Nothobranchius furzeri: one gene and its partner. The protein of the gene in region 2 purifies or fractionates together with the protein of the main gene of each other region. This does not show direct contact. Links are inferred from orthologs where the notes say so. Each region holds a gene or a part of one and is shown on either strand. Other genes may lie near its edges. The genes, in order: rnf114 and parp12a.

The links.
Region 1: the proteins of parp12a (region 2) and rnf114 purify together in Homo sapiens (affinity purification with mass spectrometry; 3 studies listed by BioGRID and IntAct, counting the BioPlex papers as one, with this or other methods). This does not show direct contact. The link is inferred for Nothobranchius furzeri from reciprocal best matches to the Homo sapiens genes PARP12 and RNF114.

Annotation. Positions count from the first base shown.
Region 1 is NC_091755.1:60,301,707-60,311,190, forward strand, and holds the end of rnf114 (E3 ubiquitin-protein ligase RNF114), read left to right. Parts: intron 1-158; coding exon 159-309; intron 310-477; coding exon 478-584; intron 585-4,502; coding exon 4,503-4,617; intron 4,618-4,690; coding exon 4,691-4,798; intron 4,799-4,895; coding exon 4,896-4,961; 3' UTR 4,962-5,576; downstream 5,577-9,484. UniProt on the Homo sapiens protein: E3 ubiquitin-protein ligase that promotes the ubiquitination of various substrates. In turn, participates in the regulation of many biological processes including cell cycle, apoptosis, osteoclastogenesis as well as innate or adaptive immunity.
Region 2 is NC_091744.1:78,749,336-78,759,073, reverse strand, and holds the start of parp12a (protein mono-ADP-ribosyltransferase PARP12), read right to left. Parts: upstream 5,462-9,738; 5' UTR 5,405-5,461; coding exon 5,085-5,404; intron 4,445-5,084; coding exon 4,309-4,444; intron 4,228-4,308; coding exon 3,963-4,227; intron 3,892-3,962; coding exon 3,754-3,891; intron 3,656-3,753; coding exon 3,493-3,655; intron 3,382-3,492; coding exon 3,368-3,381; intron 2,985-3,367; coding exon 2,824-2,984; intron 1,634-2,823; coding exon 1,407-1,633; intron 1,322-1,406; coding exon 1,246-1,321; intron 1,145-1,245; coding exon 1,014-1,144; intron 898-1,013; coding exon 746-897; intron 657-745; coding exon 400-656; 3' UTR 1-399. Other genes in the region: cfap263 (cilia- and flagella-associated protein 263), read left to right, coding at 5,706-5,812, 6,054-6,186, 6,374-6,535, 6,612-6,761, 6,887-6,997, 7,165-7,263, 7,360-7,467, 7,718-7,873 and 1 more.

The DNA of each region.
Region 1 (9,484 bases), on a different chromosome or scaffold from region 2:
ACTTGAACATGAAATATAAAGATTCACTTTCTGCTTCATCTATCAAATAATAGGAGTCATTAAAAAAACGTGTCAGATTTAACAAGCCACTCACACGTAGGGTTATGCTCCTGTGACGTGTTTGCTGTTTTCTGATTGGTTCCATTCTGTTTTGTTAGGTTTTGCCAGAGTTGTTTGCAGGAATGTTTGCGTCCTCAGAAACCAGTTTGTGCTGTATGCAGGGCCACTCTGGGCCTGTGCACTAAAGCCACCGAACTGGAGGCACTGATCCAGTCTTCTGTGGCAGCCTGTAAGGGATGTGGAGTTCAGGTATGTTTAATTATTAATGTCCAAAAGCTACAACAGGACACATTTTCATGGATTCACGGGAACTGGGGTTGGAAATCTGTTTAGTCACACATGTTAAGACTAAATTTACTGAATTAAGTCTTCGTATTCAGACAAGATAAAAGACTTGTCCCCTTTTTTTGTAATAAGGTTGGCCTGTCCCAGATGAGAAGTCACACAGCTAATTGTTCAAAGTACCAGGAGTACATCGAGGAGGGGGTGAGGACCACTTCCCAGAGCCAGCCTCCAGTTATCAGGTGAGATGCAACACACACATTTGTGACCCAATTCGGGCAAAACTCCAGACATTAGTTATCTCACACACCGCCTGCTGAAGAGCACACCATTGTGCTTTTGTTGTGTTTCGCTGTTCTGTAAGCAGGAGATATTGTGGCTGAGCCTCATCACCAAGTGGGAAAGTAAGTTGTGGCGTGGCAGCAGGTCAGTGTTGGTTCAGGTTACAAGTTTGATGCCAGATAAACAAACGTATTCTCTGAAGGCACAGACTGAAGCTGGTTTTGTTTCATTTAATCAAGGTTTGATACAAATTAAAGGAGCAATCGTTCTTTTCTCCTGGAGACATGTTCATCACTTTTTCACTATTTGTTAAAAGAGTCGGCTCACGACCGCCGAAACCGTTTAGGTCTTCCACGATTATGAAATCCAAATAAATTTTAAAAAATCATCAGAAGTTGGGCCTTACGTGCCGAAACAAAATGGCGTGGTGCTGCAGGTAAAACCACAAGTGAAAGTAAGTTTAAGCAGAAAGATCCAGTAACAGAGTGACGCTTTGGATCAAACTAACATGTTTACGGTTTGCTGGACCTGACGAACCAAATAAATGCGTTTCTTCATCACCTGGTAGTTTAAATTAGCCTAGTGAACTAGACCAAATTCTTGCTTTGCAAAGAATGGTCTAGGCACGCTCCATTGGAACCTCAGCAGCTCCTACCAGGACTCTGGCTAGCCAATCACAGCTCTCTAGAGGGGTTTCAAACACATAAAGAGCTGTGATTGGTCCATAATGGTGGGCCAATCATAGTGCTCTATCTGCTTAGTGAACAAATCACAGAGCTTTATCCGCTTTGTGGGCCAATCAGGGTACTCTATATATGCCTGGTGGGTGGGATGATGCAACAGAGGGAAACAAGAGTATAGCCTGGTTTATGCTTCTCCGTCAGCTCCGCAAGGGACAGACACGCACGGATTGACGGAAGCGTTTTGCTCTTTTACTTCTCCGTCTCCTGGAGAGTGTTGCAAAGCAATTCCCCGGCAGGACAACAGAGGGTGTAGCGCTGTTCTGTGGTGTCCTGTCATGTATCGGTCCAAGATAGTGTGTTTATATAGTGTTTTTTGTGTTTATAAGAGACTTTTAACACGGACATATTTGTCTCTCATTCTCCCACCGCTTCATGCACTCCCCACCTCTAAACCCACGTTTCCTGTCATTTCCGTCCACAAATAAAACGCTTGCTGCGCATCTTTTCTCTCCTCCAGTCACGGGAGAATTAAACGTTCATATTTTTTGAGTTTTTTCGTGAGATATTCTTCAAGCTTCTCCGTGTCTGCCGCTAGTTATCCTCGGCTCTCGTTGCAATGGCGGCGCTGTAAACAACAGCGGCATCCTGACCAATCACAAGCTTGCGTAATCCGTCTCGTTCGACGGATGTTTAAAAAAGTGGGCTCGACTCCGTACGTACTTGCGTGCCCTACGCAAGGACGGATAATGGCGTTGCGTGTCTCCGCACTGACGCAGACGGAGAAGCATAAATCAGGCTTATGTCACATTCATTGTCCAGTGGAATGCGGAGATCATTTGAAAGACAACGGTAGAACCCGCCCCACAACCGAGAGCCGTCAATGGAGCGTGGCCAGACTAAATAATACATTTATTTAGTCTGGCTTGCCAGGCTAAGTTTAAATGCCATAACATCTTTTCACGATAATGACAAATGTTGGAGAGTTGGATGGATGTAGGCAGAATAAAGTCGATTCGATCAGACTAAACAGGAAATATCTTGGTTTCAAATAAAAACTAAATCTAATCAAACCTTTTCTCTCCTGATAAAGATCTTCGGTTTTGCATGCAAACATGTTGGTGCACGTGGCTTAGTGTCGTGAAGTCAGACGCAAGTGGATTTCTGCTTTCTCTATTATTACCACTGACTCTCATTAGGGAGGGGAGGGGGAAAACCAATCACATTTTGTTTCCTAAAATAAAAACACGCACACACTTCTTCCATCGGTCCAAGAGAGGTGATAGATGTGTTTGATCTATGCTGAGATTTTGCAACTGAAAGCTCATTTACTTGGTTTCAATGATAAAAAAAAATGGATCTTGTAAAGTTGAGTCCCAGAGATTTAGTTCCTGCCAGAACTGAAATGAAGTCATACTGACGTTTACTGATTTGTATTCACAAGAGATTAAAAGTGTAATAAAATAGTCATAAATCAAGTTCATATGGTATATTATGATAAACCACAATTACTGTAATGGCAGCTATTTGTTTTTGCTGTGTAACCTTATGATCTGTATGTACTTTTCTTATGCGAGTCACAGATCCTCACTCATGTTTTCATAAAATGTTCCGTGTCTCTCTTCCCCTGTCTAGCGGTTTCTGCAGGTTGTGGGTAGGGTTACCATTATAGTCTGAGAAATAATCCTTGATGGCAACTGGTCAGAGTTATGGTTAACGCATCACATTTATTAAAGTCATCACTTAAGGGATATTCCACCCCGGAGTTAAACGTAGCTTGTTGCCACATTCCCCAGAGTTGGAGAAGTCTGTAAAAACATTCTGTAACAGTCATTTTCCTAATCTGGCAGTAACCTGTTAGCTTTAGCTTAGCATAAACAATGTAAGTGAATGGTAACAACTAGCACTGTCTCCTCCGTGTTTACTGTACACCATTTACAACATTTCACCTTTCTATTTCTATGATATGATTATTGAGGTCCCCAAGAAAAATTAGGATCATTATTGAGAAATGTTTATGAATTATTATAATGCTAGCTGTTACCATTCACTTATATTGTTTAAACTAAGCTAAGGCAAACAGAATACTGCTACATTAGAAGACTGGCTGACCTCTTTACAAAACGTCTTTTCCCACTTAGCTGACTGAGGAATATGGCCACAGACTGAATTTCACTTAGGGTGGAATATCCCTTTAAGGACGGAAGCACCTAATAAAATGAGACGCTAACTTCCTTCTAGTGTAATAGTTGGATGTCTTTAAATATAATTTCTCCTTGTTGACATCTGTATTTTCATTAGTAAGAATACTATTTAGACAAGGATACATTATCTTATTGCTGTGTAGGAATTACAAAGAGGTGCTGTTGAATAAATGTTAAAATGACTTGCCGTACTTAACTCCTATATAGACAATACAAGGGAAACGTAGTACAACAGTAATCCATGAACCCTTGTTCACTGATTGTTCTATTATTATTATTAAATCACTTCAGTTGCTAATGTAATCTGACTCAGTTGGAGCTTATGTGTCTGCTTGATGATCCCAGAGGTGATGAAACAAGTTGGAGATGCCACATTTTTTTTCTTCATATGGGCAAGCCATTGTCCCGAATTCCTTTTTTTAACGTCTTTCAGAATCGCATATATTCCCACACAGGAATTCTCATGCACTTCCTAGGTGGAAACGGAGCTTCTGCCGTGATCCGGGTGCATCCATTCGAGTTAGACTTTTTGTCCATACGGGTCGCACCATTTGTTTTATTTTGGTGATGATGTTGGAGAAGTGTTTCACTCCGCGTTTAATAGTAAAGCCGGTTAACAGCTGCAACCCTAGTCATGACTGTGGACTATCTCTGCTAGCTCCTGTGAGGGTATTCCCAGTGCAGCATAGAGATCTAATCCCTCTAGCTCATCCTGGCCTTTGGGTTCCCAACCCCATCTTTAAGGCTGAGTCTTCCCACCCTGCAGAAGTATCTCATTTTGGCTGTTAGTCATAACCCAAAGCTCATGTCTTCTGGACCAGTAAATCAAAGTCTTCACCTTCCATCTTGGCTTTCTCTTGAACAGATTAGTTTAGTGTGCCCATCACTGCAGCCGCTGCCCAGATTCACCTGTCTGCCAGTGGCGTGTGTGCCCTCTAACTGCAGTGAGGTGATGAATAAATATCAACATAGTGTTTCTGTTTCCTTCCCATAGTTCGGTGCCAAACAGGTACACCTTCTCCTGCCCCTACTGCAACTGCCAGAACCTGGATCAGGATGGCCTGGTTGAACATTGCACTTCCCAGCATGCTCGAGATCCACGCCAAGTGGTAAGGGATCCACATGGTTCTGTGATCGCCCTCATCCTACAAACTGTCTGCTTAAGTCAGTTCTTTGGTGCAGGTGTGCCCTATCTGCGCCTCGATGCCTTGGGGGGATCCTAATTACAGAAGCACCGACTTTTTCCAACACCTTAAGATCAGACACACATTCTCCTATGATACATTTGTTGTAAGTTAAACACTATTAATAATTTAATGTTAACCTTGCCAAATAAACCCTTATTAATTATTTTTTCCTTTCTTCCCTGGCGCTCGTTCATCTTAAGGACTACTCCACAGACGAAAACACAATGATTCAGGAGGCTTTACAGCGCTCCCTTTTGGACAACTGAAGAGCGAAGAACAATCTGGCAGAACCAGAAATTTAGAGAAAACGGGAGGAAATTGTCTTGAAAAGATGCAACTATACACTGTCATCATGCATCTGGTGTAACTGAGCTGCTTTGGGTAATTATTTTCACGGGGATGTTATGTTGTATCTATAAATCTGTAGGTTTAATAAAAAAATCTGTCAATATGTTAAAAAACATTGTTCTGTTTGCTCTAGGAGTGTCAGTGTTTATCCTTTCTTCTCCTCCACTGAGCCTGTCCACTTGATTTGTAGTCAGCATCTCCTTAATTATGTTTTAAGTAATTTGTTTAATAATGAGCAAATGTCATTTAACCAAAAAACTTCCAAAGTTGTGATTAAAAATGTTGTCAATACTTGATGTAATGAGGTGGTTTGACCACTAGGTGGCTAACTAGTGCAGCAAAGACGAACTTGATCAATAGGTTGTCCTATCAGTGAGACGACATCCTGCTTCTGATTGGCTGTGCATGAGAACTCTCTTAAGGCAATGTGTTCCTTTTTCTTGTTGTCGTTTCCTGTCAACGTGTGTGTGAGAGTGATGAATGTTGGTTTTTTTCAGAGATCTGGGAAGAATAAATAACGAGGGTTGAGCAGAGTCAGAGACAGCTGTTTGCTTCATTGTAAAGTTTCTCCTTTGTGTCTTTGTGCCTTCTAGTAGATCGTGTTTCTAACTTCCAGAACTCCACAGGGCTACTTGTTCATGCAAGGCATCTGAGGTCTCATTTGATGAGCCTGATGCTCTTACGTTTAGTTCTAGTGTAGTTGCACGTTCATTACCACAGGGGACAGTAGAGTTCTACTCTATCCATGGTGTCCGGTGACACTCCCAAGCCTCTGAGTTTATACAAGTCATTACATCTAAATTAACAGCGTTTTCCCCACAAATACATGATTTTGTTCATATGCAGCAAATAAAAATGTGTATTTAAAGTAATGGTGTAAGGCTAATCTATCTGAAATACAGCTGAAACTGCAGTTAAGGTGAAATCACTGGACAAATGTGTCACGAACATTAAAATGAACTAGCTGTAATGTTTGGGATAGTCTTTATAATGAGTAAACATGATAAAGTTCATGTGTATTTTTTATTTATATTTCTGGTTTGAATTAGAACCAAACTATCATTTGAAGTTAAATAACTATAACTAGTCTTGTTTTCTGAGTGTTTTGTTTTAATTTGTAAATGTAAATTAAACCAGTTGTCTTTAATATTTATGGTCAGGCTCATGTTAATACCTTCATGCTTTTTTGATTAAACAGCTAAACTGTCTAAACATGCAGTTTAGCAGCTCTAGTGCTGAACCGTTTCACCTTCACAGCCGCTCCTTGGTTAGGCCTATGGATGCTTTCAGTCTAGTTTTAAAATGTGTCATCATGTGTGTTTCTGGTGTATAGTAACATTTTCTTCTTTCTTGGGGTGTGTGTGTGTGTGTCATTCTCTTTTGTCAGCTCTACTGCCAGGAGGTGTTAAATCCTGATGAATTAAAGCTCTTTAATTATTTAAACCCTGGCCCCGGAGATCAGGTGCTGCAACTTATACCTGTGTGTGTGTGTGTGTGTGTGTGTGTGTGGTGGGAGGAGGAGTGGATAACCATGTTGTGTATGATGACATAAGGAAATGATGAGCTGTGTGGAAAACTCCATATTTGGTTGTTTTCAGAATAAAGACAAGAATTGTAAATTTGATGTAGAATAAAGAAGAGCTTTCCACAAAACTTCTGAGTCCTCTTCAGTCGACATCGTTCACATGGGAGATTAAATCCTTACAGCTTCTAAATCTAATCGTCAAATTATATCACTGTTATCTACAAAGAGACTAAACTTCATGTAAGCTCCCCCACCTCCTCGTTTCTTATATTTTCATCCCTTTCACCCTAATCGGGTTTTTGCTCCTGGCAGATGCAGAAGTGATGTTAGCTGAGAGAGAGAGAGAGAACTAACGAGATACCCAAGTGCTTCTGGGCAGGAAGGAAGTGGAGTCTAAAAACATGGCAGAAAGAAGTCTTTCTTGTCTGTTTGGTGGCACATCTTAAAAGGGAGTGAGAAAGGCGGGGAATGTTAAAGGTAAGAAGGAATAGGGGGAGGAAAGGAAGAGAAGTGAACACATTGAATAAAAATTTCATAAAGTACTGTGTGTGGTTTCTTTGATGAAAGTGTGGATGGTGTGTGTGAAGTCTGCAGGCTCCGTGGAGGCTGCAATTAATGCTACATGAAGCCAAAGGGCTCAGTGAGAGGCACACGGGTGCTCCATTGTTTGGAGCTACATCTTGAACCTTCTTGTCCACCTTTGATTAAAACCTGATCACGTGGGCTCAGATCCTGGATGCAATTAATCTGATTTTTTGTTTTCTAGATGCAATTCCTTTGTAGTGAAGATAAAAACCAATATCTGAAAATTACACTAAACAAGTTTGGTTTTAAGGAAGTCCCATCAATCAAAGGCATTAACTTGTTTGCATGAGTGGCTGCTGTCATAATAAGTTTGCATGTACGATCTTAAAAAAACATTTAACAGTGCAAGACTCAGAAACTCCTAAAAAGCTTACATCTCCCTCTCTCAAGTCTTTGCTGAGACAGGTATCTGTGATGAGGTGTGTGTGAGGAAAGCACTGGGAGTTCGCTCACCCAAAAATTCCTCAAAGTCAGGAGAAACAGGAAGAGTGGGAATCCTGCTTCCCGGGTTACTGCAGCACCGCGGCAGGTCGGTCCTCGCAAATGTTTGAGCAAAAAGTGCCAGTGGGCTTCCCCGACATCAATACTGGTTCTACACCAACTCGTCTTCCGCTTTTAAACTCTTAACAACCTGCCCTTGCCATGCACACACTCACACACGCACACACTCACACACATGCACACACTTGTGTTTGCCTGAGAGCATCAAGTCTTAACTTTGATTCTAAAATGCCTGCAACCAACTTAATCCTGCATCAGCTGAACTTGCACACGTTGTGTAGCAGGTGTGTTTTAACCTTTTAGCTCTTTAAACATGAACTCGGAGCTGCCACATACAAATCAGAGGATTTTCATAACACCGTGTTTGTTTTTCTGACTGTAACACATATTCAGAGCACCTTCTGATTGTTCTGACATCTTGCTGGAAATGAACTCCACTGACCATGATTCCCCTCTTGGAGGTTTGAAAGTTCCCAAAATGCACTGTTCCTGCAGAAAATCTTCTGCTGGAAAATGAATATGAAAGATATGAAACGCTGATGACTCTCAGGAGAACTGCTAATCATTGCCTCTTCATTTATTTATTTATTTGAAATCCAGGCAGCCACTGTGCTAATATTTGAAAGTTGGGCCCTTTAAGGTGTAGAAGAAGGTAGGGTGATAAAATCCCAGTGTGTGTGTGTGTGTGTGTGTGTGTGTGTGTGTGTGTCACACACAGTAGAATATCACACCAAGTGAGGCGATTTGATCTTAAATCTTGCTCACCCTTCTCTACCCCCTGTGGAACAACTAAGATGTGCTTGGAAGAGAGCGAGGCCCACGGCTATTATTCTCCCATTAATTTTTCCATTTGAAATCAAACCTCGATGGGCGTGCATGAGGGAATAAGACGAAGGGAGAGGACCAGAGTGGGGATAACCTTATCCGGAAGGAGGTTGTAGCTGCATTAATGTCCAATAGGGGAGGCAATCTTACTTTCACAAGAGCTCCTGTTGGACTCTCTGCCAAAGCTTCTGGGTCCAGATGAAACAAAACAGGCACTTCTCCGCCTTCCATCAAAAGAAATGCATGCAAAAATTTCAAACAGCAATTATCCCGAACACATGAACAATTTAGAGGCCCTGTTAACCTCCATCTTACCTACCCACACAAAAACACACCTCCTCGACCTCATCCTTCCTCCGCGAGTCCCCTTCAATCCCAGTCCTTCCACCCCACCTTGTTTTTCCTCCGTCTTTCTTTGAAAAAGCGCCAGCACTTGCTAATCTGTCAATCAGACGTTGTCCTGTTGTGGCAATGATGAGGGGAGGGAGGAGGAGGAGAAAGGGGGTTCGGCGTGAAGGTGGGCATCCATCTCCAGCAGCTTGGCGTTGCTTGATGATTAACCAGGCAGGTAGTGAGTGAAACTGCTGACAGCAGAAACACACTGACAGCTGATTTGAAAGACAATGCTTCGGCTCCCTCTACTTAACTTGTCACGGCAATGAAAGCACCTTCTCAATTAACTTGTGACGTATCTGGAAGGATGGAGGGAAACATGGGTTAGGTCAACACAAACACGCAAACTGATAAAACACAACTGAGGAAGTGGAAAATCGGGTATCTTTTTGAATCGAAATGACCCAAACACAGCTTCAAAAGTAGCGTTGGTGCAGTTTGGGGGGTTCTGATCTCTGGGCTGGGCTCTAGCGATGGTTGAAATGTCACAACCAGAACAACAAATGAAACAAAGCCCCAGCATCTCAGAGTTTCTCAGATTAATAATCCAACACTTCCCAATTATTAACTGCCCCTGTAGTGTAACCTTTGTATTCAAAGCTTCCTCCACTT
Region 2 (9,738 bases):
TTTATTGTTTTTGTGTTCCCTTAAAGCTGTGCCACCTTGGGATGTTTCACTCTTTATGAGCTAAATGTCAGACTATTAGATCCTAAATGACGTGTGTAAAGGTGGTCAGTATGGGGAAGCAGCTGCACCTCTATAACTCTTAATTTGCACAAACTTTTTACATTTTAATCTAACTTCTCTGTAATGAAAAGTAACATGAAAGGAAACAAGAGGCCCAATAGAACTTGTCACATATCTGCTGCTGAACTTTTGTGAGCAGATTTCTGTTTAAAATTGTGACTTTGAACTTGACTAAGTTCTAGTTTGGATAGAATACCCAAATACCAACGATGGCAGCAATCAGACTTAAACGCTTCCCTCCACTAAACCGTTTCCAGATCAAACTGCAGAGGATTTGATTTACTGGTACATGATTAAATACTCTGGGTAAATCTGCTGTTTTTCAAAGATAACAAATATGCTGGGGTTGGTCTCCGAGTTGACGCAGCTGTCGTAGAGAGTTCTGCTGCCCTTCTTCGGTGGTGGTCGAACGTAGCTGTGTCTACCCAGCGTGTATTCCCCCACCAGGACCAGAGCGACAAACATGACCTTATTCCGACCACCTTTGGCTCTGGAGTACTTGTTAGAGTAGGATGCATCTTTGGCAAAATAGCTCCCTGCAAAGAATATTTATAAGCACATTTATAAACACCGAAAAAATGTTTTTGGAAAGAAAAATGAAATCATTTAGTCTTGTTTTTCGTGCCTTTGCCGTACACTGTCCCGTGAGATCCACACACCCTCCAGTCAAAGTTTTGATCGCAAATCTCATCCACCAGGCGCTCATCTGTCCCGTGGAACAAATATCTTTCATCCACAGTTTTCCCACCATTCGTCTTCTGCATCTGCTCTTTCTGGCTGAAAATGAAGCATTGCACATTCACTCCCAGTGTGAAGAATAAAAGGTATAAATGCCGAGCATCTCCGCGAGCAAAGCAACCAAGTATTGTGTTCATGAATTGGCAACGTTTTACCAATGGAAAGATTTCCACAGAGAGGGGTTCTGAATCCTCTGGATGCTTTTGATTTTGCTTTGACGCATGGTGCATTTGAACAATGTCTGGATCATGTTATGATCTGGCGAGGAGCTGGAGAGGAGCACGAACTGAAAGATAGCATAGTCATCAAAAGGTGCAGTTATGTGTTCAGAGATGATTATGGAACTAAACAACCAGGTTAACGTAAATGTACTCAATAATCAGGCACCTCAAACCCCAAATCAGGCAGGGCTTTCTTGTCCCAGTGAGATGGGACAACTGAATCTGTGGAAGAGCTGCTGGAGCTGTGTAAGAATGCAGCAGAAGTATAATTAATACAGAAATATAATGATACATTAAATAAATAATAAAATACATAACTTAAGTTACTTTTTGGCCTTCTTCACATCCTCAGCAGACACAAAGCGAGGCCTCCTTCGCACCTCTCTTTTGGTTTTGTGTTCGACATTCTGCTGGAACATCTGCTGGGTTCCTGCTGCATCATTCAAATGGAGAACGTATTTATGTTCACCAGCCTGGAAAGCAATCTCCTTCTCCCGGTTTTCCAGGTACATCTTTTCCAGGCTGTGAGAAGTGACTGTGACATCGCCCCCACCCTAGAAACACGCCAGAAAAAGCAGCAACAAAAGAAAATTTAGACTTTGAATGAGATGAAATGGATTATTTATAAAAAAAAAAAATAAATAATAATAATAATAAAATGAGAAGGGCAAGACAAGTTTACGTTTTAGTTTGATCCTTGCTGCATGTATGAGCAAAGGGCTTATATTCTACACTGATGAGCTAATGGCTAATTTGAGCACAATCAAGGTCTAACATGTTACTGCTCCACTGCAGTTCATTCATGTTTATGTTTATTTATTTGGCAGACGCTTGTTATCCAAAGCGACTTACAATTTATAACCTATAGGGCATGTTGTGATCTGTGGGGGAAGCCGGAGTACCCGGAGGAAACCCACGCATGCATGGGGAGAACACGCAACTCCACGCAGAAAGGCCGCAGCTGAGTTTTGAACCTGCGACCTTCGTGCTGCGAGGCAACAGTGCTAACCACTGCGCCACCATGCAGCCCACGTGTATTTGCACATAACGTTTTACATTCCTGCAGGGTTGATGGATACACCAGAAGTGCCGCATTTATGCTATTAAAATAATTTAGCATGGACTGCTTTGTCATTTAGAAATTTGAAAAGGCAGCAATAGCAGGGGTGCCCGATCCTGGTCCTCGAGGGCCGATATCCAGCATGTTTTAGTTTTAATTCTGCTTCAACACACCTGATTTCAATCAGCAGGTGATCAATAGGCTTCTGCAGAGCCTGATGAGATGCTGCACAGGTGATTCAACCATTTAATTTAGTGTGTTGGAGCAGAAAAACCACAAAACCTGCTGGACACCGGCCCTCCAGGACCAGGATTGGGCACCCCTGCACTATAGTCTCATACTAGCTGTTAGCCTGTGATGGACTGGCTCTCTGTCCAGGGTGTACCCTGCCTGATTGCCCATTGACCGCTGGAGATAGGCACCAGCCCCCCCCCCCCCCACCCCCCCACCCCCCCCCATCCTACATGAACAAAGCGAGTGCAGACAAAGGATGGATGGATGGACTGGCTGTTAGCTCAAAGCTATTGCTTAAAAATCAGGCCTGGGAGAAAGCAATCTGCTAAGGGTGAGACGGTGATTGTCTACATTTCACTGAGGGACTCACTACAAAATGGCCAAAATATGCCTTTAAAATAATTCAAACATTAAAATACACAGTTTTGTTAAATAATCAGCTCAGATTACCTGTCCATACTCGAGCCATGACCCTTTCTCATGCTGCCAGTACCAAACCCACTGTGTTGGGAGAGTAAAGTGTGATGGGTGTAAGACAGAGGAGGCTGTGGGCAGGCGACGGACTTTAGACCCTCCATATGTCATGGTTTTAAAGTCAACACACTTCTTAAAGAGCAAGTCACCCCCAAATCAACTTTTTTTTCTGATAAACTATATAAATGCGTGTCTAATCGTGCTGCAGACACGTGTAGTCAATAGTTTAGCACTTTGGTGCATTTTAGTTAAAATTTAAATGTTCTGCCTGAAACTGTCAGTGTTGCGCCGTTGTCAGGTAAAAACTCTTCACTGCATTTGAATTTAAATCTGCCACCGCTATTGGCTAAGAGGTATGCTATGATGTAAACTGGTACATTATGATGTCACAATGTCATGAGTGTGTGTATTTGTTAGTGGCTCCACCCTCTCGGTCTGCTAGGCAACAGCATTTGTTGCATTTTTCAAACATGAAGTGGGAGTGAAGTACGCTTCTTGTAAGGGGTGACTGGCTCTTTAATGTTAGACACAGACCTGAAAGGAGGACAGAACCCTCATAAGAACATTTTTAAACCATAGAGGAGTAGGAAATCAGATTTTTGTTTGTTTGTGTACCACACATTCCAAGCTCCAAGAAGCCCTAACCTTGAAGCAGATGGCGGTAGACACACGGCGCTTGTGTCACGTGAAGGGTCACTGTATGCCTTCTCTATGTCCTCCATATTGGGCAACTCCTTCCAAGTCACACAATCTTGGTCTAAAACCTCCCATTTGTAGGGCAGACCCCAGTGAACATGACCACAAGCCTCTGTGACAGAACACACAAAGAATAAACTAAGTGAAACATGCATGAGCATCCACTGCACTATAGATGCAACTGGTCTGCTCCATCAGCAGAATCATTACCTTTGAAGCAGCGGGACGTGCAAATGTTATGCAAGATTTCATTCCTCCCAGCAGCACTTACTGGTTTTGGACACACAGGCTTGGTGGGAGATCCGGGGTTGCAGGGGGGAGGCTGTGGAACGTTCATCTTTGGAGGAGCTGTAGGAAACTCACATTTAGTCTAGAATCTTTGCATCTCAGATTAAAATGGCAGAAAACAAACTTTTTACCTGGGAGAACCACAGCTTGCCTCTCGTGTTTGCCCATGATGATGAGTTTATTTTTGTAGATCTTGTAAAGATTTTGAATATTCTCCTCGCTATAGCCCCGGAAAAGCTTCATTTCATTCTCGGTAAATTGATGGTTTCTTTTACACGAAGACCCAAACCTACAGTCACCCTGGAGGGAGTGCTGGCACATGTGGAGCTTTGTGCAGGAGGTCGTGAATTGGCAAGAGCCAAATGGACCATTTCCCTTGTTGTAATGTGAGCACACCTGAGTGAAACGGTTGAGAACGTAATTTTAATACTATTCCATCATGAGGAAGGGTTATTATTTTCAGCCGCTAAAGCCTACCTCTGGAAGAAGATAAGGATCATTCTGCAGTAAGAGTTGGAACAGTTGTTTTTCAGTCAATTCCTGAAGCCCAAATCTCTCCAAAACCGTTGTATTGTGTGGGGAATCCAGGCTGTGTGGGTTTTTACACTTTGGTCTAAAAACAATATGCCCAGGACTTAAAATGTTTACTTTATTCAATTAAAAAAATAAAATACATCGATCTAAATCTTGGCTGATAAGCAGAATATCGAGCCACGCCAGAAAACATTGTTCATGGTCATTAACAGCAAGCTAAATCTGCATTAATTTAGTTTAAGTATTATCATATTGAGTTTGTTTATGAATTCATAGCTGGATGACGAATGTCATTTCACTGTCTATTAAACAGCTGTTTATTGTAAATTTGTTGTTATACTGAGGACAAAATCCAGTCTGGTCATGGAAAATCATGTAGGCCTAACCACACTTGAGTTGGTGGAAACATTTTTTTATTACTTTTTAAAATGACTTTATTATATTTTTTCCCCAAGTACAGCGGCTGAGATGGAGGGGATAATGGTTATGTACTGCCCCCTTCTGGAAAGGTAAAGTATTTCCTGAACTGCGTCATTTCAAAGTATTCTTTCCTTTAAAAAAACAAGCAATTAACCAGAAACACTCTACAAAAACAACATATCAACATTAAAGGTAATTGGATGTCAAGTTTTTCTCAAAGTCCAGCTTGTGTGCATGTGCTCCAAAAAAAATTAAATAATGTTTCTAAGCCCATTAAATTGTTTTATGAGACAACTTACCCAAACGTGCAGCCTCCACAAACAAAATACTTGCACAGATGTAACCCATCGCACTTCGCGCACTGTACGTATTTTTTCTGGCAAATCCTCAGTGCGGTTTTAGCCACCACCAGACCCTCTGGACTGAGTTCGTTAAGGCCGGAGACTTGCTGTTTGTCCTCTTGGATCGCTATTAACCCGTCATCGAAGAGAATAGACTGCAAGTCTTCCACTTCAAAGCCGAAATGACTGTGCGCCAGCTCATTCAGCTGCCCGAAGTCCAAACATCCCTGGTTGTCACACAGAATCCCGATAATTAGTTTGGAAAAGTTCGGTGCCATTCTGGACAGAGCTAGGGAAGAGATTATCAGAGAACTCTAAATGATGGAACAGCTGACCTGAAAACACGCCTCTTGTGCTGAAAAACGAAACAGAAACTTAACTAAAAAAGAAAAACAAGATACTGTAAAAGGACATCTAACTCCTAAAAATTAATAAAAACTATAAAATCATTCAGAAACAAAAATAGAACAAAAATAACACGACCACAGTCTCAAACATAAATGTAAACAAATGCACAAAACACATTTTTTACATAGTTCTGCTTTTTGCCCAGGAGGTACGTGAACGCAACGCGACTCCATGGCAACTACTGAATCGACAACAATGGAGGACAAGATGAAAGAAAACACTAAGAAGGTCACAGAAGAACATAAAACGCTTCTTGTCAAACATCAGAAGGATTTAAGGTGAACAGAACGGATGTATAGAACTTTTATTTTAAGGCTTTAAAACCCACTCGCTAATGCTAACACTTCTGTTTGCAGCATGGCTATATTTAGCACAATTTTTTCGTAACATTAAAGTTGATTTCTTTCATATGTGGTCCATATTTGATAGCAAAAAGACAAGAACCCCTTACATTATATTTAAAGTGAAGTGCACTAATTGTTTGGTCAGTTTTGTTGACACTTATGTGCTGTCATCAAGGGATCCTAATGTAGCCCTCCTGGCTGAGAATCACGTGTTTGAATGCTTTATCAAACGCCTGGATCCCAAGGAATTTCAGGGGGATGGTGGAGAAGGTCAACAAGCAGCTGGACACTCCCAACTGGACTGTGTGGTGAGCGGATTGCAACCCATGTGAACCATTCCAAATACCACCACTTTGTATGTGTCAGTGTTGCATTGTGATTTTGATACAAACATTATTAATATTTGTGTTTGTGTGTGTGTGTGTGTGTGTGTGTGTGTGTGTGTGTGTGTGTGTGTGTGTGTGTGTGTGTGTGTGTGTGTGTGTGTGTGTTCAGAATGTTGACAGGAGGCAAAAGCCCCGCTACATCTCATCAGACTGCGACCAGCTGCTGACCTTGGAGCAAAAAATCTTCTTAATACAGAGAGAAATAACAGATACACGGAAAGATCACGAAGAGCTTAAACAGAAATATGAGAAAATCCAGGACAACTACAAGGTTACAACATACGTTTGGATACGCATCATTTCTGTGTACGCAGATCCTTGTTTAAGTGTTCTGCTTTGCTGTCCAGGCCGCTGTGAAAGAAGCAGAATTGCGTTTAGCTGAGATTCGAAAGTCTAAGAAGGAGTTTGAACACAGGTTAATGAAATCTATGAAGGATGGCCTACTGGAAATGAAGGAGCCAGAGAAGGTGCTGCAGTACACTGAAGACAGGTCAAAGGTGAAAATGGAATCTGATTCACTGACCACATACAAGGAAGTTTTGCATAGAAACAATTCCTCTTTTTTGATCACAAAAGTAATGTATAGTTTTTAAATGTACTTTAAACCACATTTCTCCAACAGATTGTTCAGTTGGAGAGGTTTAATCTAAAAAATCAAGCACTGAAGGTCCAGGAAAAAACTCTTCTGCAGAAACTCCTTCAGAAAAACGAAATGGAAAAGGCAGAATATCAGGTAAAACAAGAAATATATCATTTATGGCTTAAATGCTGTCACATATGTATTCTGGGAGGATTTGCAAAAATAATCAGTAGCTTCATTTGTCATTCGCTTAAAAACCTTCAGATTGTTCATTGAGTTTTAATCTTGAACCAGATTACTTTTTTGTTCCTTGTGTGAAGGTGTATTTCCTCGAGTATGATGAACCCAGATTTGACAGAAGCCTCGATGAACACCGATGCAACTATAGTAAGGTACAGCATGTCCTCAGCGTGCACAAGGTACAGTAGCTCCCCGTGAATCATCTAGTGTGATGTGTAGCATCGTAACAATCCAGATAGTTAAATCTGTGCATCGTTGTGTTCTTTTGAGAGCAGGAGAAGCTGCAGAGTGTGATGCTGGTGTCTGCAGAGTTGAGCAATGACATCTCGAAAAGAAAACTAATGCTTGCAAAAATTGAACAGGAAATACATCATGCTGAAAAGGTTCATTCTTGTGTATTTAAACAGCATAAAAGCTAAAACTCATTATGGCTTACAAAGTCCAAAGTAATTTTTTATCGATCGGTAAAAGAATTAAGTACCCAAAAGCAGCACTTTTAAAAAACAAGTAAAAAAAATGGCATTATTTAAATTTCTTCATTTTTTGATTCATCTGTTTTAAATAAAACACGTTCTGTCCCTTTCTTAGAACTTCTCCTTTGCACAGATTTTTTATTTTTTCTCCCGTCCTCAGGAGCGATTAAAGGTTGAGGACAAGAACAGGCTCCTTCGTGAGCAGCTCGCGCATCACCAGGCTCCTGGTATCACGGAGTATGTGTGTGCCAAGGACAAACACAAGAAACTGCAGCAGAGCATCCACAAGTGGGAGACAAAGGTTGGGGTTGCTGAGGTAAACTGACATTTTAACATTCTCCAGGTGAACTGTGTTGGTGAACAGTTAGTCCAAAATTCAGCTGCCCGGATAATCACCAAGACCTCCACTTTTGATCACATCACCCCTGTCCTGCAACAACTTCACTGGCTCCCTGTCAAATACAGAACTGACTATAAGATACTTCTTCATGCCTTTAAATCCATCCATAATCTCGCTCCCCCTTATCTTTCTAATCTCCTCCACATTGTCACTCCCACTCGCTCGCTCCGATCATCATGTTCACCTTCCCTGTCTGTTCCTCGCACTCGTCTCTGTACTATGGGAGCCAGAGCTTTCAGCCACTCCGCTCCAAAACTTTGGAACACTCTACCGCCTGACCTCCGCAATATAATCTCTTTCTCAACCTTCAAGTCTCAACTCAAAACTCACATGTTCCGCCTGGCTTACTCAATGTAACTGTCCTCCTTCCACCTACTCTTTTTAGTCATTGTACTGCTGTGAATCTACCCTTGGCAATTACTCTTAGCACTTATTTCTTGTTTGTATTGCTTGCTGTTCCTTATATTTTGTCTTGTACAGTGACCTTGAGAGCTTTGAAAGGCGCTTGAAATAAAAGGTATTATTATTATTATTATTGTTTCTCGAGCATGATCTGATGGAATCATCTTTTCTACTTCACCGACAAAAGTCTGGCTGGTATGGGAAGGGAAAACGCCGAGTTGTAGCGTTCAAAACACTAACACATAGTATCTGTTTTTTTTTACCAGATGGCCTTGAAGACTCACAGAAGGAAGTGGAGCCAACAGAGAGCCATTTCTTCTCCTGAAAGCAGAATCAAGTTTGGAATAACTAGCTCTGGTGATTGTCAAAGTCCAGTGAAACTCCCCCACATAGCAGAAACAAACACTTAGAAGTCAAGAATCAGAACAGGTTTCTGATCGTTTGGAGCCTATATTCTAATACCAGCTAATTTAAAAATAATTAACTATTTCTTACTCTTTCAAAGCTTATTTAACCATATTTGATCATTGGGATCTTAGATTTTGCATGTGGGAGTAATGTAGCCTGGCAAGCTATCATTTACATGTAAATACCTGCAGAGCAAAATCTTTTTGCTGTTGCTACAATCAGTCTAGATTTCTAGGCAAGGAGTAATATTTAGTCAATGTTATTTTATTCGTTTAAGTTTTTTTCCCTAACAATTACTGTGTTTCTAAAATATTTTGCTGTTGTGGTATTAAAGGGGCCATATCATGGAAAATTCACCTTTTCAAGCTTTTCACCTTGTGATAATATTTCATCATGAAAAAAATAAAACAAACCCATTTTTGGCCGCATTCGTGCATTGTCCTGTCTCCGCTGTGAATTTAGAATTTTACTTTGAAAATCATGGAATGCATCGATTGAAACCATGGACGTAATTTTCACTTTAGAAGTGTGTGTGGTATCTTTACAGTATGTTCTAATGGGAAACAGGCTTCAACACAAACAATTGTTTTCTGCTTGGTCCTAGAGCTCAACCAGTGTCAATTTAATATAGCGTAATATCGTTTTTGGATGGTAACAAGTGCAGGGGTCAAAACTTGACTTTGGAAAAAGTGGGGGTGGGGGGGGGGGGTGGGGGGGGAACATGTCCCCCCTGTCCCCCCCAAAATTATGTCCATGATTGAAACTTCATGCCTCCTCAGGGATTTCTCCTCTCCCTGAAGCTAGTCTCTGATCTGAACCTCCACTCCCCTGGAAGTAGGCCACTAACGTGCACTTTCTCCTAGTTACAGGCATAGAGTGGTTGATTTCATTCTGCAGTTGAAAATGTGTCCTTCGTGTCACAGATGACTGCTTTAAACCTCCACCACAGAGTAGATATTCTGTAAATTACT